Sus scrofa: one gene and its partners. The protein of the gene in region 3 purifies or fractionates together with the protein of the main gene of each other region. This does not show direct contact. Links are inferred from orthologs where the notes say so. Each region holds a gene or a part of one and is shown on either strand. Other genes may lie near its edges.

Evidence for each region.
Region 1: the proteins of POLR2G (region 3) and POLR2M purify together in Homo sapiens (affinity purification with mass spectrometry; 4 studies listed by BioGRID and IntAct, counting the BioPlex papers as one, with this or other methods). This does not show direct contact. The link is inferred for Sus scrofa from reciprocal best matches to the Homo sapiens genes POLR2G and POLR2M.
Region 2: the proteins of POLR2G (region 3) and RPRD2 purify together in Homo sapiens (affinity purification with mass spectrometry; 3 studies listed by BioGRID and IntAct, counting the BioPlex papers as one, with this or other methods). This does not show direct contact. The link is inferred for Sus scrofa from reciprocal best matches to the Homo sapiens genes POLR2G and RPRD2.
Region 4: the proteins of POLR2G (region 3) and MED19 purify together in Homo sapiens (affinity purification with mass spectrometry; 3 studies listed by BioGRID and IntAct, with this or other methods). This does not show direct contact. The link is inferred for Sus scrofa from reciprocal best matches to the Homo sapiens genes POLR2G and MED19.
Region 5: the proteins of POLR2G (region 3) and MED9 purify together in Homo sapiens (affinity purification with mass spectrometry; 3 studies listed by BioGRID and IntAct, with this or other methods). This does not show direct contact. The link is inferred for Sus scrofa from reciprocal best matches to the Homo sapiens genes POLR2G and MED9.
Region 6: the proteins of POLR2G (region 3) and CTDP1 purify together in Homo sapiens (affinity purification with mass spectrometry; 4 studies listed by BioGRID and IntAct, counting the BioPlex papers as one, with this or other methods). This does not show direct contact. The link is inferred for Sus scrofa from reciprocal best matches to the Homo sapiens genes POLR2G and CTDP1.
Region 7: the proteins of POLR2G (region 3) and MED26 purify together in Homo sapiens (affinity purification with mass spectrometry; 6 studies listed by BioGRID and IntAct, counting the BioPlex papers as one, with this or other methods). This does not show direct contact. The link is inferred for Sus scrofa from reciprocal best matches to the Homo sapiens genes POLR2G and MED26.

Annotation. Positions count from the first base shown.
Region 1 is NC_010443.5:114,264,063-114,268,073, forward strand, and holds the start of POLR2M (protein GRINL1A), read right to left. Parts: upstream 2,801-4,011; 5' UTR 2,642-2,800; coding exon 2,529-2,641; intron 2,468-2,528; exon of another isoform or gene 2,346-2,467; coding exon of another isoform or gene 2,266-2,345; intron 567-2,265; coding exon 1-566.
Region 2 is NC_010446.5:98,644,366-98,647,603, forward strand, and holds part of RPRD2 (regulation of nuclear pre-mRNA domain-containing protein 2), read right to left. Parts: intron 2,790-3,238; coding exon 25-2,789; 3' UTR 1-24.
Region 3 is NC_010444.4:9,005,832-9,009,791, forward strand, and holds the start of POLR2G (DNA-directed RNA polymerase II subunit RPB7), read right to left. Parts: upstream 2,801-3,960; 5' UTR 2,661-2,800; coding exon 2,649-2,660; intron 2,538-2,648; coding exon 2,428-2,537; intron 1,068-2,427; coding exon 908-1,067; intron 250-907; coding exon 199-249; intron 1-198. UniProt on the Homo sapiens protein: Core component of RNA polymerase II (Pol II), a DNA-dependent RNA polymerase which synthesizes mRNA precursors and many functional non-coding RNAs using the four ribonucleoside triphosphates as substrates.
Region 4 is NC_010444.4:13,244,311-13,247,810, reverse strand, and holds part of MED19 (mediator of RNA polymerase II transcription subunit 19), read right to left. Parts: intron 186-3,500; coding exon 1-185. UniProt on the Homo sapiens protein: Component of the Mediator complex, a coactivator involved in the regulated transcription of nearly all RNA polymerase II-dependent genes.
Region 5 is NC_010454.4:60,924,661-60,927,830, forward strand, and holds the end of MED9 (mediator of RNA polymerase II transcription subunit 9), read right to left. Parts: intron 2,048-3,170; coding exon 1,831-2,047; 3' UTR 501-1,830; downstream 1-500.
Region 6 is NC_010443.5:145,808,874-145,812,967, forward strand, and holds the start of CTDP1 (RNA polymerase II subunit A C-terminal domain phosphatase), read right to left. Parts: upstream 2,801-4,094; 5' UTR 2,413-2,800; coding exon 2,108-2,412; intron 1-2,107. UniProt on the Homo sapiens protein: Processively dephosphorylates 'Ser-2' and 'Ser-5' of the heptad repeats YSPTSPS in the C-terminal domain of the largest RNA polymerase II subunit. This promotes the activity of RNA polymerase II.
Region 7 is NC_010444.4:61,032,706-61,036,161, reverse strand, and holds the end of MED26 (mediator of RNA polymerase II transcription subunit 26), read right to left. Parts: intron 3,275-3,456; coding exon 1,622-3,274; 3' UTR 501-1,621; downstream 1-500. UniProt on the Homo sapiens protein: Component of the Mediator complex, a coactivator involved in the regulated transcription of nearly all RNA polymerase II-dependent genes.

The DNA of each region.
Region 1 (4,011 bases), on a different chromosome or scaffold from region 3:
TCTGTGGCCCACGCCAAAGGCCAGTCAAGTTCTCCAGACTCGGGTTTCCTTCTGAGTGATGTTCACCAGGGTCTGTAATAGTGATCCTTTGCAATCTATCAATAAACAGGTTCTCCGAGCTGCTAGAATGATCCTCTACTTGACTTGAAATGTGATGCTGAGGGAGTCGCTCACTGGCTTCAGATGAGGAAGGCACAGCGGCTCTGCTGCTGGAAGGTGGGCACTTGCTCACTGAGTGTTCGGGCTCAGGGGCCTCAGCATTGCCTCCATGAGTAGGATGGACCAGGCCCCGCTGTGAGGTTGTCTGAGACGACGTGATGGTAGCTATAGAGGAGCAGCCAGGAACTAGTGATGAAGTATCAAGTATCTGGTCAGAATTCTGGGCCGTATCTGTTGCCACATCAACAACTGTACTTGCTTTTGTCCTCCACTTACAGTCTAAATTAACGGGATGAAAGAGGTCACTTCCCCCTCTAACTTCTTCATGTTCTTCAATGGCAGCTTTCAGTTTGGCGACAGAGTCTATGATCTTTCTACCTTTGTCGGGCAATTTGCAAATGAATTTTCTGGCAAAAGGAAAAGAACAGGCATATGTGAGAGAGCCCTGTTTTTAAACTTGAGATATAAAGACAAAGAATTATTCTCAAAGGGAGAAAAGCTGATCTTTAAGTAAAAAATCTGATTTCCAACTGGCCCCAATTAGGAATGAAATAAGAGAATCATTATCCAAATACTCCCCCCCCAAAAAAAAACAAGTGGCTGCATGAATAGGAAATATGCCTCATGTGTCTCATCTAATTAGAATTTCAGCAAAAGTATTTTAAGCATATGATACTCATTAAAAGACATCCCCCAAATTAGCAATTTTTAGACGTGTGATATGCAAGACCTTCCTGGGGAGGGTAGGTAGATGGACCTGCAGGGTCAAAACTATATAACACTAAGACACTCTTTGCCATTTTCATTCTCCTTTGCTTACCATCAGCACAGGAAAGGTTTGCAGAGGCCACCTCATATGTGATGATACCACTGCTCTGAGGATTAATAGAATGTGTGTACTTGTCTTTTAAAGATGCTCACTTGTAATTCCTAAGGCAATGATAAATATCAGTAGATATACCACATATAAGACAAGAGCTCTTCAGGATGCTTAAGCGTAAAAGTAGTCTGGAGAACAAAAAGTTAATTTGCCACTTACAGATTAAAAACCCATTCTCAGAGCTCCCTTCGTGGCTTAGCAGAAAGGAATCTGACTAGTATCCATGAGGACGCAGGTTTGATCCCTGGCCTCTGAGTGGGTTAAGGAACCGGCGTTACCATGAGCTGTGGTGTAGGTTGCAGACGTGGCTCGGATCTGGTGTTGCTGTAGGCCAGCAGCTACAGTTCTGTTTTGACACCTTGCTTGGAAACCTCCATATGCTATGGTGTGGCCCTTAAAAAAAAAAACAACAAAAAACCAAAAAAAAAAACCATTCTCACGAAGTCAAAATAGTTGTCTTTACTAGGAAGCTCCCAAGTGATCACTTGTCCCTTTTGCTGAGTGATAGAAGTTCCTTTTCTGATTTTCTTTTCTTTAGCCACCCAATAAATGGGGAGGGAAAGTTACATCTCATGCCCTCTACTCTTTATGACACTATATTCATGCCCCCAATTCTAACTATTAAACATCCCTCTCCAGTTAGGATGCCTCTATTTTCCCATCCTTCTTCTCTCTTAAGCCTCATGACCACTTCTCCAGTTTTTAACCTGATAGAATCAACTTCTATCAACCCAGCTCCCCTAAGTGAAATCAACCTCAGATCTACTCCCCTCCCCAACTTTTCTATTTTTATTACTAGTGCCTCCAGTACAGGCAAGAAACTTCAGCCGTCTCTGTCAACTACACATCAAATTATTCCATATCTGATGTAATTTTCCCAATCCTACAATGACCCTTATAGTTAGTTCACTTTCTTAAACCTCCTTGTCGAGAGGCTCTCTGAAAATATTCTCCTACTGTCTTCTGCCTCTTACTCCCTCAAAACTATCCTGCACAAACCTGCTAAAATAAGGTTAAAAAAAAATCATGTTCATTATATCGATCCTCTGCTAAATTCCATTAACTCTATCATCTAAATGTTAGCCAAACTTTCTTTGCCTATAAGCCATTTTTTTAATTCCCCTCTTCCCACTTCCTGTAAAAAGAGAATCTAGAGATGAAATTGACAGGATGTTTGGGGCACGACTGGGGTGGTGGGCAAAGGCAAAAAAATTTGGGATACAGACCGTCCGTTCGGAAAACCGACACAGAAGCTGAGTACGTAAAACGAGGAGGAGCACGGGAAGCCATCCCACATGCGCTCCATGCCTGGCTGGACGCGGTCAGCTCTACGGCTGTAGGCCGGCTACTCGCCCGCGGACCTCGCAAAGAGCTGACTGTGACAAGGTCACCTTCCGAGGAAAGGATCGGGGTGGGGGAGGGGAGGGGCGCGTCCCGGCTAGCCCGAACCCAAGGAGACCGGCGGTGACTCCGCGGGACCCAGGCTTACACGTTGCGCAAAAGTCTCTCCTGGCGCTTCAACGTTTCCCGCAGCTCTGCCAAACTCCGCTGACCCAAGTCCTCGGGAGGTTGGGGCTCGAAGCCGCGAGGCAGCGAGGACATTCTGCGGGAGCTGAGGCTGGCGAGGCGGCGGGCACTCGACGTCCGCGACAGCTCCCGCTGCGGGCGCCGGATCCGCGGCGGGCAGGGACTCCGGCGAATGAGCGGGAGTCGCCATTTTCCCGGAAGAACAGGGCTTCTTCTAGCCGAATCGAGCTTTATTGAAACGCCGGAAACAAACACGGACAGGGAGGAGGGGGTGGCCGGAGGGGCGGGAAGAGGCGGGAGTTGCGGTGAGACGTCACACGCCGGCCGGGCATGTTTGGCGTGGTCAGTCTGTTACCAGTTTCAGCTCTTCGCCTGTTTATTCAGAAAGTATTTGGTGAGTGCCCCGCTCCCAACTGTTAAGGTGTTTACCGCGTGGGGGAGAGGGTCAGATGCTTATCAGGTGACAGTCAAACAATATAATTGTACGATGGGCCCTGGCATCTGAGAAGTACAAGAGGAAATCTGAGTGATGAGTTACCATTGATAATGTTGGGGAATGTGCCGGATAGGGCATGGGAGGCCCCGGCCCATGGCGTGGCCCGCCTAGTCCGAGGTTCAGTGAAGTTAGCAGATATTAACGTTGGAAGAACCTTTAAGGACTACCAGCGTTTCTTAATGAGGCTCCGGCGTTTGGAGCAGGAGTCTTCTTTTGCGGCACTGAATTAGGCATTGCATATCTGGTATTTGGCTTCTGTGCATTAATTGCTTTAGCACTCCTGAGTCCTTATAACAGTACCAAACGCATCCCACCCACTACCATCCCCAGCACGCTCATACACACAATTCCAAAGGCCCGCAAGAGGTGATGGGGTGGGAGGTGCTGTACAAGCCAGTTGAGAACCTCTCACAATTCCGTATTTTCCTGCAGAAAAACAGACAAAAACTGATGTAAGTTTTCCCAGGGCATGAAACTAGTAAGTGACAACACCAGATATTAAACTCAAAAGCCCAGCTGCTCTACCACACCAGTTTGAAAATCTTCCAAACTGTAAGAAGGTGTTTTAAGCTGTTGAGGAAAGCAATGCAGTAAGCATCACATCTAGTGCTTAGCTTCTCTTAATAGTTAAGCTAGGAGGGCTGTTTCCCAAAGGAAATAGTAGGAAGCATGCTAGTCTCACAGCATACATCACTTGGGAGGTTTGAAAAACCCCATAACCTCCAACACCAGCCTCCCCCTTCTTTGATATGGAAAATTTACATTTTCTCAGTCTTTTGTAAGGTGATATGATAAACACAAGCAATTCCCTCCCAATCAGACAGAAGCTCTAAATAAAATCGGAAACTGCTTCAGGGTGCACAGTTGAAACCGTTTTTGTGTCCTTGTAATCTGGTCCATTCTGATCAGTTTTAACTAATGTATTAACATTCTCAACATAAGGCCTGCT
Region 2 (3,238 bases), on a different chromosome or scaffold from region 3:
AAAATGCCTTTCCCTTAGTTTCCATCAGTACCTGGGAGGGAAGAATGGGCGTTTTGGTGCAAAGAACGGAGGGCCCCTAGCGAAAGGTGGCCTGGGTCTCTTTAAGCTGTGGAAAGGGTCTCTGCTGAGAAAAGGTTCCCTAGGCCGAAAGTCTGGCCGGGGACTCCGCAAGATCATCCCACTCCGGCTGATGGCGTCTCTGTGTGAGGGACCCAAGGGAGGCCCACTGCTGCTGTTGCTGCCTCCCCCACCTCCTCCTCCATGGGCTGGGCCCAAGTGCTCCAGAGAATGGGAAGGTAGGCTGAGGCTCTCGCGTACACGGCTAAGGCCGGGGCCGTTGAGGTCCCGCTGGGTAGGGCCCCCATGGTCCCTGGGTCCTGGGAGCACCCCAAAATGATCAGCCAAGGTCCCTTGAAGGAGGGAACTATGGTCCTTGGGAAATACTGCCACAGCCCCTGCCACTCCGTGCTCTGCCAGTGGTGGGGTTGGGAAGGGTACAACCCCAGAATGGTCAACGGTAGGTGGAGGAGGAGGTGGAGTAGAAAAAGGGACACCACTCCCAGCACTGCTGCTATGTTCCCCAGGGGGTGGAGGAGGGGGTGGGGTGGGGAAAGGAACTCCGCTGTGCTCTCCAGGAGGTGGGGCAGCATGGGCCAGCGCCGCCTCCTTTGTGAAGGGGTTCGAAAGATCCACAGAGGGTAGATGAGTGGGTGCATCTCGAGAGAAGATACCACCATGATCCTTAGAAGGGGCAGGTGGGGCAGATGATGGCCCCACTGGCTCTCTCTGGAAGGGTGTCCCATGTTCCAAGGGGGACGGGGGGAGATGATGCTCAAATGTTGAGTTGAAACTGTTGGAACGAAAGCTGCCGACACTTTCCTGAAATTGGGGTGCCCGTTCCTTGTACGGTGCTGTTTTAAAGCCAGTGAGGCCTCCGCTGCCCCCACCCCCAAGGGATGCCAACTCAGAGGCACTTGAGGGACCATTGTCAAACGAGCCGCCTGAGGTGCTCAAATCAAACCAACCCACCCTTGAAGCCTCACGCCCATGTCCTCTATTTCCCTTCCCAGGAACTCGGATGGACTCTACAGTCTGTATTGGCTCCCCTGACATCCTCCTATTGGATGCATTATGATAACCCAAGGTTTCTATAGGGGCCCCCTTCTCTTCGGTACTATCAGGCAAGTCTAAGCAGGAGGAGGAGACTCGGGTTTCTATACGGTAGTGCTCTTCTTGTTGCTGATCAGTGGCTGCCAAGCTGGGCTGGGTGAGGTTTGAGAGACTGACAGCATCACTTGCAGTGCCCTTGCTGGGGGCCTGGCCAAAATGCTTATCATCTGAGGGCTTTCGTGAGGCGTTTTTAAGCATATTCTTAAACTCAATCGTCGATGTGGTGGAAATGGTGGAGGCCAGGACTTTCTCCACACCTGACGTGGGTGGGTGGCCCGTGGGAGCGGCAAGGGTATTCTGCGGAGAGAAAAGGGAACGATGTGGGACTGGGTGAGGAGAGTCTGGGTACTGCTTCTGTGGCAAACTGAGATGCCCAGTGGTAGACTGAGACAAGCTATTGTGGTTGGAGTCAGGGGTGAAAAATGAATCATTCTTACTCGGTGAAGGTGACCGGTCAGACCCAGGTTCATTCCCTCTTATGCTGAAGGCACCAAATAGCCCAGGGGAAGATGACAGACGGTCACAGTTCTCACTAGAGTCCAGAAGGGCCCTTACAGATGGAGGGAAGGCAGATTTGACCCCAAATTCTTGGGCCCTGTGGCTGTAACTGGACAGGATTGGCTGGTACTCAGTGGTATCAGAAAGCTTGCTTGATTTCAGGATAGATTTGGCCGGTTTCTTCTCTAGGTTCATCATGGCAGAGGGTGGAGGCCCTGAATACTCAAAATCTCGGTAATCTTCATCTTCCTGGAAAGAAGTATCTGGATAGAATTTCTCCTGTGAAGAGTCCATCAGGGAAGACGGTCTCTCCATCCCATCAGACGGCTGCTTATAGGGTGATTCACTGCCCAAACCAAAGGGCCGATATGTAGATAGAGAATTGGAGAGCTCTCGAGGGTAGCTTTCCTCTCTCCCAGGGGGTGGTGATCTTGTACTGCTGGGCGTTGAGGAACCAGGGCTAATGATCTTGGAAAGCAGGGACATGGTATCTACACTGCTGGATGTGGGCTTGTCCATCATCTCATCTTGGGTGGGCGTCCCACTCCGTTCATCCCGCACAGGGGTTCCATCAATGTTGTCAATTGACGTGCTAGTAGGGCCACGCTGGAAGTCTGACGGATGGCTTTCAGTTGGGGCACTGGACCCCAAACTGCTCAGGATTGGGATGTTTAGGTTTAAGCCACTGAAACCAGGATTACCTTTTAAGAAGTTGTGAATCTTCATTTCCAGGCTTGGGGAGGTGGACTCGGACTCCAGCTTTGGCTTGGAGATCTCTGAAGATTGGCACATGGCAACTTCAGTAGGTGGGGCAGCAGGGCTAGTATTGTGGGTACTTGTAAACCCCAGAGTGTTGGATGGGAGCTTGAAAGTAGTGCTTGGGAGCCCTGGGCTTTGCCCAATCGAGGCCTTGCTGGCTGAAGTTGAAGAGACTTCAGAAGTTGATGAATTAGGAGAATAGCTGAAGCCTTTGGAAATAAAGGATTGGGTATTGGAGGGCAAATTTCTTCCTTTTATGTTAGAGACTGTGGTGTTGGCGGGGGACGCTGAAGTGCTCTGGGATGCAGCTTCACTGGATGGAACTGGGTTCCCAGTAACACTCTGAAGTAAAGATGACAGGCCTATAGAAACAAAGATTAGAGGAATTAAAAAGAACAACTCTGTAGCTTACAATGAAAACAATGTAGATTAATTGGATATTCTCATTCATTCCAGTGGGAACCAGATAGACACTAAAATACTAGATCAAAGGGAATCCAGACCAAATAAGCAATGGCTAAATGTAATAGAAAACACTGGATCTATTTATTAATATATGAGAGCAAATTACTGAAATGTTTCTAGTAGTCATGAAACAGGTCCAACATGGCACAATAAAAGGCAACAGGAAGGGGGAGATTTTAGTGTCAGAATCATTCACAGTTGAAACAAGACAAAGCAGGAAAAGAAAGGGGGCAAAATTATTCTTAAAATAACACTTTAAGCCAATATTTCTAAAAGTCTGGTCTGTAGAACTGTTTCTCTAAATACAAATAGATATTCTGCCCTACGCTTCCTTTTCATCCTCCAT
Region 3 (3,960 bases):
GCTCAAGTCTCTGCTGGGATGCAGGTTCAATCCCCAGCCCAGCACAATGGATTAAGGGTCCAGCATTGCCACAGCTGTGGCTCCAATTCAATCCTTGACCTGGAAACTTCCACGTGCTCCAGGTGCAGCCCAAAAAAGAAAGAGACGGTCAGGAATGAATGTCTCCTCCTTAGCCCCACCTAGCCCGCCTGGACTTACATGTCGAGAGATGAAGCAGGACATGGGCCCAATTTCTGTGAAGAGTCCGACCTAAAAGGGAAATGAATGACCTAGTTTTTTCTTTTGTCCCCATTGTCTGCTGAGCATCCCGTCTTTATCTGCATCCTAATAATAGTCTTCATGTTTTGAAACCACTCTGAAATTTGGCATTTGTTTTCATTTTTCTCTCCTTTTTCTTTTTTTTTTTTTTATTTTCCCACTGTACAGCAAGGGGGTCAGGTTATCCTTACATGTATACATTACAATTATATTTTTTCCCCCATCTCTCCTTTTTCAAACTTTCACTTTATGTTAACAGAGTGTAGTAGTCAACACCTGAGGCCTCGAACCTGTCTGTCTGGAATCTGAACACTTGTCGGCCACATGACCTTGGCCAGCAGTCTTCTCCAAGCTTCAGTCCGGAGGTAAAAGCACTCGCCTCACAGTCATTGTGAGGCTTTGCACTTCACCTGGTGCACAGGATCTATTCAATCAATGGAAGCTACTGCTCTTTTGACTCTTAATGTTGACTTACATTTTACACCTGCCTGAGTGAGGCAGGACAAGATTCCCATGCCATCTGGCAGGTAAGGACACCTGAAGCACAAAGAGGTGATTTGGCCAAAGACACAGAGTTAGCAAGTAAGAGTTGGGGCCCATCCCAGATTTTCTCAGGACTTCCCATTACCTGCCCTGTGGATGGACTTACCTTGTTGACTTGAGTGACAACAGCATCCACGACCTCCCCTTTAAAGGGCCGGAAAACGATGGCCTTGTACTTAACTGGATAAAGGACAAAGCCTCGGCCTGGCTGGATCACACCAGCACCGATATTGTCAATGGTGGTGACAGCAATTACAAAGCCATACCTGCAGGGAGGATGAGAAAGAGAAAGGTGTGGAAGAGCCTCTAAAACCATCTGCCACAAGAGGAGTTCTGGTTGTGGCTCAGCAGAAACGAATCTAACTGGTATCCATGAGGACACAGGTTCAATCCCTGGCCTCACTCAGTGGGTTCAGGACGCCGGCATTGCTGTGAGCTGTGGTGTAGGTTGCAGATGTGGCTCAAATCCGGCGCTGCTGTGGCTGTGACATAGGCCAGCCGCTACAGTGCCGATTCCTCCCCAGCCTGCGAACCTCCTATGACACAGGTGCAGCCCCCCAAAAAAAGACAAAAAAAAATCTGCCACAAGAGTCACCGAGCCTGGGGGTTAAAGGGCATCACAAAGGGCAAGTAGATGGCACTCCTGGTCCCAGAGAACTTAATGATCAAGAGAGAAGACAGGGCAATGACCAGCATCTACAAAGCCAAATGCTGATCTCATAAGTTCACAATAAGTGTCCAAAAGGGCTGCAGTCCTTGAGCCAAGAGACCTCAATCTCTTTTTAAAATTTATTTGGCCTGTGGCATTCAGAAATTCCCAGGCCAAGCATAGAACCCACGCCACAACAATGACAATGCCAGATACTTAACCTACTGAGCCCAGGTACTTCCACATGCCAAGGGTGCAGCAAAAGAAGAAAAAAAAAAAAAAAAAACATACATATATATATATGAAATGCATATCCCCAGGCCTGTCCCCAGAGATATGGGGATGCTGTAAGGATGACATGAGGCTCAGGAACCTGTATGTTCAAAAGACACCCCCAGTTGCTCTGATGCTGGAGCCCCAAGTACTCCATGGCCCTGCTCATCCTGGTTTGTCTACATCACCAGATGAGAGGTCCCTCTGTGCAGAGCAAAGAGACGGTCAAACGTCAGTGCTCTTCCTTCCTCCCCCTAACTCTCAATCTGCTTTATCCTGGTCACTCCCTCATTCAACACACTTTTAGTGAAGCCCAATGTGCCATGACAGGTCCCTGGGCGTGGGGGATAAAGAAAACCAGCAAAATCCAAAGAGACTATGAGCTCGAGCTGGCCGCTTCTGTCTTTCTCACTGCATTATTCCCAGGGCCCAACACAGAGCCTGGCACACAGCTGGAGATTTGGAAATGTTTGTAAAGTAAATGAATGACCAATCTTGGCTGAGGGAAGTTAGTCCCGTTATCCAGCTTCGCAGAGGGCATCATGGGAACCCGAAGCAGGAAGCAAATGACTGCCTGGGCCGTCTGGGTGGGTGAGAGGGCTCTCCAGGGTAGACAGCACAAACTTTCAGGACTTGAGGAGGGGATGAAGGCACCGGGCGCCGAGGGCGCACTGCTCAGGCAGCACGGAGAGCGGGACACTCACTTGCCGGTGCAGGTCCCCTCCACTTCAGTGAAGAGCTTTTGTTTCACGGTGTTAAGAAGGTTGGGGCCGAAGTAGCGCGGATGCAGCAGGATCTCGTGCTCCAGGGAGATCTGCGGAGAACGTGGGATGGAGACCAGGCAAGAAGCGGCCCCCTACTCCCGGCCTTCCGCTTCGCTCCTCCTCTCGACCCTACCCTTGCCGCCACCCCGGGCCCTGCTCACATGGTAGAACATCTTCCCGGAGGAGGCTGGACAGCAGCCAGGCCGAGAGCAGCCAGGCTTAAAACAGCGACAGCAGCAGCAGCAAAACCCCCGGCAGGACCGGAAGTACACCAACCTCCCCAATCCCGCTTCCGGGCCTGCCCCAGAGAGGTGGGCGGGAACACGTCTCGTCTGCGGACTTGATTGGGCCCCGTTTTCGTGGGCGGGGAAATCCACGAAGCTCCTCCCCCTTCGTCCAGTCCACCCTCTGTAAAAGCACAGGACGCTCACAAATTAGCAAGGCCAGGTCTAGACAAGAAGTTCAAACGGTGGATTTAATTAATGAGAGACGTCATAAATAAAGCGCTTTAGCAGAATATATTCATTCAGCAAACAGTTGAAGACTGCTTTCACAGAGTAAGCATAATAACTATCTGTTCTTATCTGGAGAGAACGGAGGCCAGGACCACAGCAGCCCTGACCCCTCTCCTTCCCTCTTTTTGAAGCCAGCCTCCCTGCAAGAGCAAACTTACCTGCTGACAGTGGTGTGCTGGAGCCCCTGCAAAAGCCAACTGTTACTATTTCAGGAATTTTGCAAGCTAATTCTTAAACACAGCCATTATTAAAATGTAATTGTCTTAAAATTAAATGAATATTTGAAAAAAAAAAAAAGGCAGCGGTGCAGATGAAACAAGTTTGGCAATGACTTTTTTTTTTTTTTTTTTTTTTTTTTGGTCTTTTTAGGCCTGCACCCGTGGCATATGAAGGTTTCCAGGCCAGAGGTCGAATCAGAGCTGTAGCCATGGAACTGCGTGTGCCACAGCCACAGCAATCCCACATCCGAGCCCCCTCTGCTAGCTACACCACAGCTCAGGGCAATGCGGATTCTTAACACATTGAGCGAGACCAGGGATCAAACCTGAGTCCTCATGGATGCTTAGATGCGTTTCTGCTGAGCCAGGAGGGGAACTCCAGGCGATGTATTAATGATTGTTGAAGCCAGATGATGGATAAACTGTGGCTTTTTATATGTTTCCTTCTACTTTTGTATGTTTAAAATTGATCATAATAGAGAGTTTCCATCGTGGCTCAGTGGTAACAAATCTGACTGGTATCCATGAGGACTCTGGTTAGATCCCTGTCCTCAATCAGTGGGTAAGGATCCGGCGTTACTGTGAGCTGTGGTGTAGCTTGTAGACGCCGCTCAGATCTGTTGTTGCTGTGGCTGTGGTGTAGGCCGACAGCTACAGCTTCAGTTGGACCCTGGCCTGGGGACATCCATATGCTGCAGGTGCAGCCCTTAAAAAAAAAAAAAGTTCAGGAGTTCCCGTCG
Region 4 (3,500 bases), about 4.2 Mb from region 3:
GGGCTTCTCAATGAGGGAGCGGAGGCTGCTGTTGTCATGGGAACCAGGCAGATCAATCATCCCTGGCAGGTCAGGCAGGAAGTTACTTAGCTTCTCCTTCACTTTCTTCCCACAGAATTTATTATAGGAATGTTCCAGGTTGTAGTGTGTGATCAGATTAGTGCTGCCAGTCAGCTCTGTGCTGCCTAAAGGATACAGGGAGAATCAAAATTTTAAAATTAGTCCTGGGAATTCCCGTTGTGCTCAGTGGGTTAAGGACCTGAGGTTGTCTCTGTGAGAATGCCAGCTCAATCCCTGGCTTCAGTCAGTGGGTTAAGGATCTGGTGTTGTCACAAGCTGCAGAAAAGGTCACCAGTGCAGTTCTGGGTCGACCCCTGGCCTGGAACGTCCATACGTTGCAGGTACGGCTGTAAAAAGAAAGAAAAAAGTTAGTCCCAAGAGTAGAGAATTTTTTAAAAAGTCACTGTGCCAGAAGGGAAAGTAAAGGACTATAATTTAAAGTAAAATATAAAGAATCTTTTAAGTGAAAATTTTAAAAATTAAAAGTGGAGTTCCCGTCGTGGTGCAGTGGTTAATGAATCCGACTAGGAACCATGAGTTTGCGGGTTCGATCCCTAGCCTTGCTCAGTTGGTTAAGGATCCGGCGTTGTCGTGAGCTGTGGTGTAGGTTGCAGATGCGGCTCAGATCCCGAGTTGCTGTGGCTCTGGCGTAGGTCGGTGGCTATAGCTCCGATTAGACCCCTAGCCTGGGAACCTCCATATGCTGCAAGAAGTGGCCCTAGAAAAGGCAAAAAGACAAAAAAAAAAAAGTAAGTATAATATTATAGAATGGTAGGTTGGAGGCTGGAATATGAAGGAGGAAAAAATTGGCAAAAATCCACATAGGGCAGAGATGGAAACCGCTCTAACTCAATGACGAACCTCAGACTAACCAGAGCAATGACTTACATGATGCTTATACTCCATGCTAAACACTGTTCTGTTTTGGAGTTCCCGTTGTGGCAAAATGGAAATGAATCCAACTAGTATCTATGAGGACGAGGGTTCAATCCCGGGCCTTCGCTCAGTGGGTTAAGGATTGCCGTGAGCTGTGGTGTACGCTGGCAGCTGCGGCTGCAGCTCTGATTTGACTCCTAGCCTGGGAACTTCCAAATGCTGCATATGTAGCCCTAAAAAAGCAAAAAAAATTTTTTAATTTAAAAATTAAAAAAAAAAAAAAGAAAGAAATCGGGCAACTAGAATTCGAATCCTAACTGTCCTCTATACCTGTTTCCGCTTATCTATGGAACGCGGTAAAAGCTGTCTTAAAGACAATTTTTTTCAAGGTTCAAATGAAAACATATTGAAAACTTAGGTTCTGGAGTTCCCGTCGTGGCGCAGTGGTTAACGAATCTGACTGGGAACCATAGGTTGCGGGTTCGGTCCCTGCCCTTGCTCAGTGGGTTAACGATCCGGCGTTGCCGTGAGCTGTGGTGTAGGTTGCAGACGCGGCTCGGATCCTGCGTTGCTGTGGCTCTGGCATAGGCCAGTGGCTACAGCTCCAATTGGACCCCTAGCCTGGGAACCTCCATATGCCTCGGGAGCGGCCCAAGAAATAGCAAAAAGACAAAAAAAAAAAGAAAAGAAAAAGAAAGAAAGAAAGAAAACTTAGGTTCTGAACTATGAGCCCATTGAGGGCACCTAAGCCTTGCGAAGGCACTCTGTACTTTCTCTAAATTCTTTATTATATAAATGGAAGGCATTATTAGTATAAATATTTATGGCTGGCTTTTTTCAAAGAATACAAACTTAGTAATTTAACTAGGATTCAGTGGCGAGAGTTAGAAATATCTAGCCTACAATTTCATGTAGTTATTATTTTTATTATTGTTTTGCTTTTTAGGGCTGTACCTGTGGCATATGGAAGTTCTCAGGCTAGAGGTCGAATCAGAACTGCAGCTGCCAACCTATGCCACAGCCACAGCAATGCCAGATCTGAGCTGCATCTTTGACCTATAGCTCAGCTCACGGCAACACCAGAGGCTTAACCCACTGAGCAAGGCCAGGGATCAAACCCACATCCTCATGGATATTAACTGGGTTTGCAACCCACTGAACCACAATGGGCACTTCCTCATGTACAGTTGTGATGAACACTCAGGGTACAAATGACAAAAGTGACTTGTTTATAATTATTCATTTGAGAAAACCCAGGTTCTGAACTATGAGCCCACTGAGGGCAGCTAAGCCTTGAGAAAGCACTCTGTGCTTTCTCTAAATTCTTTAAGGATCCATCCAACTTTCTGTTCTGAACATCACTTCTATGAGTATGATTTATAGTAACTCCGCTCCTGAAAACTAATCTTGCGTTCCAGTATTCTCTTAGTTAATTCACTGCAGATTCCAAAAAATTTTTAAACTTCCACCTCACTCTTGGTTCCCCTATTTTAATTTATGGCACCCACATTCTCCAGATATCTTTTTTTTTTTTTTTTTTTTTTTGTCTTTTTGCCTTTTCTGGGGCCACTCCTTCGGCATATGGAGGTTCCTAGGCTAGGGGTCGAATCGGAGCTATAGCCACCGGCCTACGCCAGAGCCACAGCAACTCGGGATCCGAGCCGCATCTGCAACCTGCACCACAGCTCACGGCAACGCCAGATCCTTAACCCGCTGAGCAAGGGCAGGGATCGAACCCGCAACCTATGGTTCCCAGTCAGATTCGTTAACCACTGAGCCACGATGGGAACTCCTCCAGATATCTTTAGAAGCAGTACTCAGTTCAAAAATCTCAATGGTTTCCTATTCCCTCGGCAAAAAGCTCAAACTCCTTTAACTGGGACCCATGGTTAAACACATCTTACTGTAACTTAGCTTTGAGGCCTAACCAACACTATTCTCCCATGCAAAATTTCTGATCCACTGAAATGGGTATCCATCATCTCCTGAAGCAAAACTAAACAAAACAAAACACCCCTCATATTGTTTCCTTTTAGAAAATTTCTTTTAGGAAGATTGACCTAATTCTAGGAAAATTCTTAATTTTCTTAAACAATCTGAAGTCTTCAAAGTCCAGCTAAAGTGACAGCTTATTCTTGCTGTCATTTTGAATAAGACGGAACACATTTTGAAAACCATCATGTAGTCATGTGGTTCTTAGTAGTTTGTGAGGCATGACCAGAAAATAATGACATTGGCTCTGACAAGAAGTAATAATCACAGAGTTCCCGTCATGGTGCAGCGGAAACAAATCTGACTAGGAACCACGAGGTTGAGGGTTTGATCCTTGGCCTTGCTCAGTGGGTTAAGGATCCGGCACTGCCATGAGCTGTAGTGTAGGTCGAAGATGTGGCTCAGATATGGCATTGCTGTGGCTCTGGCCTAGGCCAGCAGCAACAGGTCTGATTAGAGCCCTAGCCTGGGAACCTCCACATGCCTCCGATGCAGCCCTAAAAGGACAAAAGACAAAAAAAAAAAGAAAGAAAGAAAGAAAGAAAGAATAATCACTACTTTATTCTTAAACC
Region 5 (3,170 bases), on a different chromosome or scaffold from region 3:
AGGGTCTGCCACGCAGCATTCTGGACCATCACAGTCAGTGGCCTGGCCACTCTAGCTCCAGCACCTTCTCGGGGTCGAGGGGACCCAGCTCCGTCTAGCACTGGCGCCCCTGAGAGTTTGGGGCAAGCCCCCGATTCTCTGATACAGAGAGCAGGTCACTGCTGCGTGGGGACCCTGGGCGGGCCAGGAGTGATGTCTCAGTGGCCCTTTGGGTCCACACTGTCCCGGGGAGGACTTCGACCCTGCTCTGGGAGACAGCTCCCTGCCAGACGGAACCCACCTCCGCCACGAGGGGCGGCCCAGGGGGCTGACTGCAGGCAGGATGACCCACCAGGCCAACGACACCCCTGGGGACAGGTGCCCCACGTTCAGGCTGGGGGAGGAGGTGCAGGTGGAGGTTCTCCCCACGCGTCTGTCTCCTCTGAGCGACATGAACCTTTTGGCCAACTGCCCAAAGGCACCGGCTCACCGTGAACCTCTGAGGACAAACCCCAGACGTCTGACAACAGAGCACAGTTCTTTAATCACATTCTTGAAAAGTGCCACAAGTCACACCACTGGGGCACAGGAGAGGTTCCGTCCCCCTCCACACGCGGGGAGCCCGAGTCTCTGTAGCCTCAGGAAGACCGGGCCATCCAGCGTCGCTGGGCTTCGGGTCCCGGGGCATTTGATCAGAGCCTTAAAGCCAGCCCCCCGCTGCTCTGAAACTCCGAGGAGCTAAGCGATTCAGTTAGTGACCGTCCCACGCAGACCCGTCTACCAGGACACGCCCGCTTCAACCGACACCAGAACCTCCTGTGCGCACGCCGCTCCCTGTGGACCCTGCCCAAAACCGCTTCAACCAACAATGCTGCCACAGAGGCCGATCAGCTGCATCTGCAGGCCCGCAGGTGGGTCGGCATGGGTTGGGGTTGAGCCCCTCTCTCGATGTAGACGCTACCCGGGGCACTTCTCGGCTCCGCTTTGCGAGGCGGGAAGAGGCTGCTCGTGCGAACGCCACGGCCGCCTGCAAGGAACACAGGCTCACAGCCGCCTCGGCTGCACGACTCCAGGTCCGGCTCTCCCACCCAGGGACCTTCCGAACTGTCACTCAGAGCTGCCCTTCTCCGAGGGCGCAGCACGTCCACCTGTTTGCTGCAGTGAAGGCTGGTGGCTGCCTCCTCAGAGAGGAGGTCAGAGGGAAACTCGTTCCTAGACCAGGGGACAAGGACTCTGAGAGGCAGGAAGAGCGGGTGTGCCCGCCAGGAGACCACAGCCGAGGTGACCACGTGGGCTGAGGTGGCCTGCCACTCTTGGGCATTAAATAGCTCAACGAGCTGACTGCAGGGGATATGGGACAAAGAGGCAAGGACGCGTGAGTGGCAGAGACCCCGGAGAGGGGCCACCGTCCTACAGATAGTGGCACCCAAGCCTCAGACAAAAGGAGACGACGACTCCAGGGCAGGAAGCCGCCGCCGAGTCTTTCGGGGCCTTCTAGCGTCTCAACCCTGGCGCCCAAGCGCAGGCCCAGCTGTCCAGGGAGTTCTGTGCAGGCTGCTGTTTCCAGAACGGGCTCCTGGAACAGCCACCGTCTCAGGGCAGGGCAGGAGGGCAGAGGGCTGCTGCCGCCTTCCTGCTGTGCCCTCGGGTCTGCCAGCTGGGCCCGCAGGCACGGCAGAGCCCCCTGCCCGTACCCGGCCTGGGGAAGCTTTCTTCCTTCCACCTGCAGGCACCCATGCGTCCGGACACATGGGACACGCCACCCAGGGACGCCAGGCTCCTTGGTCAGCGCAGGCGCAGCGCAGCAAGCCCACAGGAGCCCTCCCAGGGTGGAGACGGGAGGCCCCTCGGCTACTCCTTGGGGATCTCAAACATGCACAGGCTCTTGTACTTCTGCAGCAGCTGGCTCTTGGTGCGGACTTGCTCCCGGAGGCTCAGCAGCTGCTGCTGCTGCTGCTCGGGGCTCAGGTGGATGCCGGGCATGGCGCTGACGGCCTTGCGCATCTCCTGAAACTTGGTCTTGAGGGCGTTCAGGTCCTGGTGCACGTCAGGGCCGTCCTTGTCCATGCTGCCAGGGAGAGGGCAGAGGTTAGCGCCGCAGCCTGGGTGGCCCTCCGTAACCGCCCCCCGCCCCAGCGCAGGGCTCCCACATCAGCCCGTTGGGCTGTGCGCCCCAAGGGCGGAGGGCAGGGCAGGGCCTTGGCAGAGCAGCAGCTGCCCGGCCAGCCCCCCGCCCCCCGCGTGCCCGCAGTTCGCGGAGCCCCCCTGCAGCACCGCACCCCCAGCCCGGGCCCGGCACGGAAGCAACATTCGCTCAAAGAGTGAACGCCCGGCAAACACGCGCCGAAGTGTCTGCCGAATGAAGAAAAAGCCATTACAACAGTAGGTGACAAACGGCAAGCAAAATTTGCTGAAATACCATATTTCTTCTAATTTGAGACGTTCTAGGCCGATCAGGAGACTTTATCGACGAGCCAGAGATAGTTTTAGCTCATTTTCTGATGCTTGAACCTGTTTCCATAAAGGCTGATTTCCACAGAATTTTATTATTACATAATAAATTTTATTATTTTTTTCTTTTTTTATTCTTTTTAGCGTCACAGAAGCAGCATATGGAAGTTCCCAGGCTGGAGGTCGAATCGGAGCTGCTGGAACTGCTGGCCTACACCACAGCCACACTGGATCCGAGCCGGGTCTGCAACCAACACCACAGCTCATGGCAACCCCAGATCCTTAACCCACCGAGTGAGGCCAGGGATCGAACCTGCGTCCTCACGGATACCAGTCAGGTTGGCTGCCGCTGAGCCACGACAGGAACGCCCATAAATTTTAAATTAGTTACAGGTGCTGGAACTTTGCAGCAGCATGTGTGCTCTCCTGCACACTCGCAAACACTCCTGGCCTTCAGGTCATCTCGCCTGAAAGGCGGGTCACACGCTTCACCTCACAGCCACTGCTCGCCACCCAGAGACCCGTGCCCCCGTCACTGCTAAATTCAAAGCAAACAAGAACCAACCCTTCCGCTAAGTTCAAGGGGACAGCCTGTCAGTGACTCGCATGCATTTTTTAAAAGTTAGTCACTAGATGGATATGCCTTGAAAACAGGCAGTAGGGACAAAAATCCTAAAGCCGATTGTAGGCTTTTTTTTTTTTCTTTTTTTCTTTTTTTTTTTTTTGTCTTTTGTCCTTTC
Region 6 (4,094 bases), on a different chromosome or scaffold from region 3:
CAAGAAAACAATTAACAGATTTAGTTTCTGGCAGATGGTGCCTTGTCAGAATATTCCCAAATCAAAATAATTTCAACTCACATACATGTTATGAAGACAGAAACAGACTCTCATTCCATTCACTTCCCACACTGGGGTGCTTTGGATGAAACACGGCCCAAGGAGAGAGCAGCACGGAGGAGCCAGGGGAAGCCTCACTCAGCAGGGCCGACGCCGGCACATCAGAGCCCCTGCCTCTGTCAGAGGAGCAAGGATAGTCCCCACCACCACCTGACAGCATGAAGTACTACAAAAACATACAATCCTGTTCGAGGTCCCGAGAGTAATCTAGTGATTATTTTAACTCCACCCCAAGGCAGGATTTTTAAGTTTCTAGAAACGTTCACTGCCTGAGAACCACCTCTGATGTGGTCAGGATGAGCCTTGCTGATGACAGCAATGACAGAGACAGGGTGACTCCAGCTAGGTGAGCCCAGCTCTGGTCTGGTACTTTACACATACCTCGCACACCTGTGTTCCAGGAGAAATGCTATCACTCTTCAGATTCTCAAAAGGCCCTGTGATGAACCTCTGCAGATCTGAGATCTCAAATACACAAAACACACAAGACAGAAAACTACTCCCAGCTGGGAATTTGTCAGAAGATTGTTTTCTCAGCTGATTGGTGAGTTTACTGTATTGGGTTACTCAGACTTGCGGGACTGATCAACACACTGTACATGAAGTCTCATTAACTGCTGTGACAGCCACTGGCCTGTCTGGGCCCTGGCGGCCTTTTCTGAGCAGTCAGAGGAACAGAACAGCATGGAGAGGAGTTCTTTCCCTCAGGGATTTTCTACACAGTGAAACACCAGCATCATGCTGCACCTTCATCATTTAGCTGACGGATTTACAGGCTCATTAGTGCCCAAGCAATGGTCAGGTAAGACTTGACTTCAAAGCCATGCTAACAGCATAGTAGTGTGTTAAACACACCAGCACAGCGAGCCCCTCCCTTCTAAAGGAGGCCAAGCAGATGGCTCCAGTGGAGGATGCAGCCTAGGCCACCCCGCCTGCATTCAGTGGGCAGGTACTGGCAGGCGAGCAGTAGGCTGAGGACTAGGCTCTACCTCCCAAGATGACAGAGACATAGATGGAGAAGGAGGCTCCCCGCGGTTGGGGAGGAGGTGGTTCTATCCTGGTCATTCGCTTCTGTGTGAATGGAGCAGAAGAGGCTCAACAACCAGAGGTCACTCAGTCCACAGGGGGAGTAGCAGGATGAGAGTGGGCAGAAAGGGAGCACTCAGGGCATACTGTGGCCTCCACAGAGGTAAGGTAAACAGGAGCCACTACAACAGGAGTCGGGAATGCTCGCCTGCCCCAGGTTCTGTTCCTGAAAACAACCACATGTATATACACCTTTGCACACAGCACTGGTAAACTTAGAAAAATATGAACTGACGAGCTCATACACTTCAAAGAAGAAAAAAAGTCATGCTACATGGTTAAAACAGAGGTACCCACAGCAAAAGCCTATTGTAGGAGGGTGTACTACTACTTTGCACACTGACCTACTTGTGCCAAAGCTGCACCCCCCTTCCTAAGCTTGATGCAGAACTACACTAGGTATTACAGGCAACGTTTCACGGGGTCTAACTAGGATCTAAAGAAGTGCACACCTCCCAACAGTTATTACCACGACAACCAGCATGGAGCATGTCTGATTCCTCCTGTACTCGCTATAGACCCATGTTTTCCTAATTTACAAACGTGCAATCCTATCACAGAAAAAAGAAGGGAACACAACCGTTTTCTAAAGAATTCAATTTTGGTAGTTGAGAACTTTAAAAAAAAAAAAAAAAAACCCAGCCGCCTCTGATTATTAAGTCACAAGTAGTGACTATCGTCTGACCTTAGAAAAACATGCAGACACACAACAGTGGGCCTTACATTCTAAAGCTCTCCCCAAGTGCATCCCGTTCAACTGCAGCCTCAGAGACTTTTCCTACCCAGTTCCCAGCTCAGGACCCCCTCCTGTCCCCGGCCCTTCTTCCCTCTCCCGGCCCAGAACCTCTTTCCAACCCGGCCGCCCCGCCCGGCCCGGCCCCGTCCTCCCCTTCCCACTCACCCGGGGACCACCACCTGGCCCGGCTGCGCGCACAGTTCCCGAACCACACCAGCGCGCTCCGACCTCAGTCTGCGTTCGGTACGCACGCAGCTCCCAGAGCTCGCGCGGGCAGGAGCGGGCCCGGCGGGCTGCGCGGAGGTTGCGGCCTCGCACACAGCCAGCACCGAGCCGATGCGTACGGCTGCGCCCGCCGCCACCTTCCACTCGAGTAGGCGCAGCGGCCCGGGGCCGGGACAGCGCACCTCGGCCACCGCCGGCGGCGGGGCGCCCTCGGTGGGAACGCGGCCGCCGGGCGGCGCCTCCATCGCAGCTGGGCGGAGTTGCTGTGGAAAAGCGGCGGCGGACGCTCAGGGCCCGGCGCCCATCGCGGGCTGGCGGGCGACCCAGGCCCAGGCGGAGGTGGCGGCAGCTGCGGAGCACCGATTCTCTCCCCGGCACCGGCTCCCACCCGCCGCCCGTTCCCCGCCGACTTCCGGGACAGCGTGCGATGTCACGTGCCGCCGCGTGCGTGCGCGGATGCACTGAGGACCCGAGTTAAAAACCACGCCCACGCGGGGCCCTAGAGGTCCTGCACCAGCCACGGGCAGTGAGCCCCATCCTAGAACTACACCTATGGGGCTGATTCCGGTGGAAACAGTGTTCTTAGTCCCCATCCGTCCCACGAACACCAGCGTCTGGGATCGCGGGTCCCAGCATACAACGCGCACCCCCCCCCCCATCAAACGCTGAGGTTGGACGTCGTGGTGGGACTACAATTCCCGGCGTGCAATGCGCCCCTCTGTGTCACGAGTTCCCATCAGGCACAGCGGCTGGGGCTTACAATGAGAGTCTGTATCCTGCAGTTCCCCTGGGCTGCTGAGATCCAGTATACTGAGAACTAAAATATCGGTATGCACGGTGCTTGGCTGTCTCACAGTCCTCCATTTGCTGAAGTCTTGGGGGTGTCTTTGGACTACAAGGCTGAAGTCCCGGCATGCAACTTGCCTCTGTCCCAGAAACACCGTCAGGCTCTGCGGTCCCAGCATGCAACGCGGGGCGCTGACCCACGACTCCTCTCGCTGGCGTTGAGGCTGGCTGCCTGTGGGACTGCAAGGCCTAGGGTGCGCCACCGGTGCGCTGCTGTCCCATGGGTTCCAGTGGGGCGTTTGGAATTCCGGCATGCCACGCGGGTTTCGTGGAGCTGCTGTCCTAGCATGCGGAGCGCGGTTGGGATTTGGAACCTGGTGGGCGCCAGGTTCCCTGCATCCCCCAAGAGTGCCTGTTTTGGGGTCTTCTTTGGTTCCGACCCTCCCCGCACTGTCCCAGCCCTCTTGCCCTGGTGCCCGCCTGGGGAGACTGGAACCACCTGGAGACCAGCCTTTGGGAGGAGTGGACGTGGTGGACTGCGGCTGCCCTCAAGGTCTTTCTTGATTCGATTTTTGAAGAGCTGCACTCTCTGGCGGGAACTGGACAGAAGCACCTGTCCCAACAACAGAACCCTTAGGTGCATGAAGCAGAAACTGATGTAATTTAAGGGAGGCAGACAACTCAACAGTAGTATGTGCATAACTATGTTGTACTTTGCTTTATTTCACTTTGTGGATACTGCATTTTTTCACAAGTTAAAGGTTTGTGGCAGCCCTGTATGGAGCCAGTCTATCGGCACCATTTTTTTGTAAAAGCATTTGCTCATTTCATGTCTGGGTCACGTTTTGGTATTTCTCACAATATTTCAACTTTTTAATTATTATTTGTTATGATTATCTGTGATTAGTGATCTTTGATGTTACTATTATAATTGTTTTGGGGGTATGCCCTGGTAAGATAGTGAACTTAATTGGTAAATGTTGCGAGTGTTCTGATTGCTGCACTGACCAGCCTTTCCTCCCATCTCGCTCCCTCCTCTCTGCCCTCTAAGTGTAATTAGGCAGATTAATAAACCATAATGGCCTCTAAGTGTTCAAGTGAAAGGAAGAGTCGCACATCTCTCACTTTAAATCAAAAGCTG
Region 7 (3,456 bases), about 52 Mb from region 3:
AGGGAAAAAAAATTTTTTTTGTTTAAGTCAACCCCATCCAGATACTAAGATAGCCCTAGGCCTGCATGGGAAGCTAGCAGCCTGGAGCCAGGGCCCAGCCTGGAGCCTGGAGCCAGACAAGAGTTTTGAACCATGTGGTATAAGAACTACAAATATTTTAGGGGATAGGACAAGGTCACTGAAACTTGAATTGCAGAGCCTGCTGGGGGGGGGGCTTCTCTGTCTGAGAAAGGTGAGGTATAGATGGAGACAGATGTGGCCCTTCAGTTTGTCACCCAAAGCTAAGAGGTGACCTGATGTGGGAGAAGCATCGTGGCCCTGAAAGCATGAAAGGCAAGGTAGGGGTCAGTCTCCAGGTGGAAAGCTAACAGGCTGACTTGGCAACTTTGCCCTGCCCTCCTCCCCACAGTCTGGCTACTCAGGGTCCATGTCTACTTGGCTAATCCAGAAAGGACTATAATGGCTATAAAGGACCAAATTAAAAACAATTCTCAGACTGGTTTGTGCAAATGTTTTTTTTTTTTTCTTTTATTTCCACATTTATATCACAAGGTGTCCACTTACTGGACCAAATAGCAAAGTTGCTCCCTTCTGCATCCTGAGAACACAGAAGTCTAGGTACTGTACATTCACTAAGGCTCCTTGTTTTTGCAAATCGCGTTTATGACAAATAACCATAAGGCAAACGAATCTAAAGGAATGGTTATGAGTGTTTCCAGCGTACAGACAGGTCTCCTCTCACCCAACAGTACAGCTTACACACCAGTAGCACCCGCGGTTACTTTTGTGGGTTTTTTTTTTTGTTTTTTTTTTTTGTTTGTTTTTTTTGGGGAGGAAGGGACTCTAGGAAGGTGAACTTTTCTAGATTTGTGCAGGAAGGGGAAAACGAAGAGGGAGGAACAAAGTAAAGTTACTCATCTGGTGGTGAGATGGAAAAGGGGGATAAAATAAACTCTAGAAAACTTAAATTTTGCAGCATTTCTTTAAAAACTGGGTTTTAACTGAAACGAGATACAAATGTGTGGATGCCCATGGAGTGTGGGTCAAACTGCTGGCCAGTTGGCCTGACTGATGCCAGCAGCTTGCTATAGCTGAGAAGCTTCTGGCACCACGATGGAAAAGCTGGCCAGGTGGGGTGCAAACAGAGGCTGCAGTGTTGCCCACTGCCTCACTCAGGGCCACATTAAAAAACAGAAAATGCAAAGAGATGAGATGCGTGCTTCTGTTGCTGTGTTAAAGGTAACCTCTTCCACAGGTTTTCTCTGCCTGCCTGCAACTGAGGTCCCAGCTCATGGGGGCTGGGCAGCGTCCACACCTCTTCTGAGGTGGGGAACTAACGCTTTTTATAGCTGGTTTGCTATAGAGTTCTGAACTCACTTTGCTGGCCTTCCTTCCACACGGTCCTTCCTTTGCAATTTTGTTAGTAAACTGGTAGCAGCATTTCACAAAAGAAGGAGAATTTTGAGGGAAGAGCACGGAGAGACCTAGAGACTCTCGCCCCCTCCCTCCCGCCCCAGGCCGGACTCCCTGGATTCCCAACCACTGGAGGTGGCAGGGTCCTGGCGCCCCACCCTCCACGGCTAACTGCAAGGTGGGAATGCACTTAGAGCCCGCGGGACGGTCAGTCCAAGCAGACATAAGGCAGAATGTTCAACCGCCCGTCGTCGCCGTGCGGGTCGAGCGATATGCACTGCGTCCAGTCATACCAGTTACCCTGTGTGTCCTGACACCCATTCACCCCTGGCCACTGGTGGGCCTGGATTCTGTCCAGATCGTCCTGTGTGACCTCTCGGCTCAGCCCAGGGAGGTCCGTGGGTGGGCCGTGAGGCACCAGCACGTGTGGCTTCCGGGCCCCACGCCGAGTGCTCTCCTCCTGCTTCAGGTACTCGGACATGAAGTGGTGAGCCCCTGGGGTCTGCGCACCCGATGATGAGAGCAGGCTGCTCTGCCGGCTCAGGTACGATTGGATGATCTCGTTGCGCGACAGCTCCTTCCAGTTCGTCTGTTCAAAAGGGCTCTGGAGGTTGGCCTTGGCCTCGGGTTTGTCCAGCTCTGTCCTGGGCTGCTCTGTGTGCACAGGGCTGTCGGCCCGCACTGGCTCTTTCTGGGTCAGAGGTTTGATCTGTCTTGTCATGGGGTCAAAGGTGAGCTTCCGCTCTTTTAACCGGACAGGTTTGACGCCCGCCTCGGCCACTTGCCCGTCCAAATTAACCGTGTAGTCACGAGGCCGGTACCTCTTCTTCTTTTTGCTGTCCGAGCCACCGGAGGAGGCAGCATCGCTGTCTGCCTTGGAGGAGTCTGGGGAGAAGCCTGCCCGGGGCAGGAGAGGCTCGGCTGGGGGCAGCCCTGCCTTGCAGCCTGGCCCTGAGAGCCGCTGGTGGCCCTCAGGCTGTTCTAGCCAGCGCACCGGGCTCTCTGCACTGGGCAGCAGCTCCAGTCGCCGCACAGGGGGTGTGGATGGCTGGGCCAACGGAAGCGGTGATGGCACCTGTGTGGCATCAAGCGACTGGGGCCTCTGTGAGGGACTGGGCACCGAGCCCTTGTATGTGTACGGGCTCCGTTGCCGGGCAAAGGAGCCCTCGTGCCGTGAGTTCCGGGGACTGAAAGAGCATCGAGGTGGTGCCTTGGGGTGGGGGGGGCCGGGAGTCTCGTCCACCCTGTCCAGCTGCTGCAGCAGCACAGCCTTCGTCTGCAAGCAGGGCCCGGGGGGCTTGCCTAGGCCCGGGGAGCTAGTGTGAGGCCTCACGGCGTTGATGGGGATCTTGCCGCTGTGCTTGTCATTCTCGCTGTGCTCCAAGCGGCTGCCCTCAGGGCCCGCATGCCCACTGCCGTCCAAGGAGCCAGGGAAGCTCTCAGGGCTCCCACTGATCCCGTTAGTGGGGAGGGGGGACAAGTTGGGTACCAGGGAGTCGTGGCTTGCTTTGGAGACCTTGGGAGGTGGCCCAGGGTGGCCAAGGTCACGCTGGTCTCCCCGGCGCTTGCGGCTACCCAGCCTGTCCAGCCGCTGCCCGGGCAGCCTCTGGATGTCGTTGCGGTTCTTCAGGTCGTGGATGCTCTTGGGTGGGCCAGCTGCCCCTGCCTCTGGCCGACAGTTATGGGCACCCCCATTGGCTGAGCCAGTGGCGCCTGCCAGCCCCCGCAGTGTGGCCTCATTCTGGTGCACGGGCTCGATGAGCTTCTGCCAGCTCCGCAGCAGCTTCTTGGCCCGCTTGGCAAGCTCCTCATTCTTCGTCTTCTTGCGGACATCGTTGATGAGCTTCCCAAGTCGAGTTTCCTACAGCCAGAGAGAGATGATGACACACTTATAGGACAGGGAAACCTCATGAAAAAGGGAGCTGAGTGAGAAATGACGGGGAGCACCCCATGTCTTTGAAATGACCTCACACTGGGCCCTAAACCACTGGCTTCCCAGACACAAAACCTATGAGGATTTGGAGCCTTCGTGGCATTTAAATT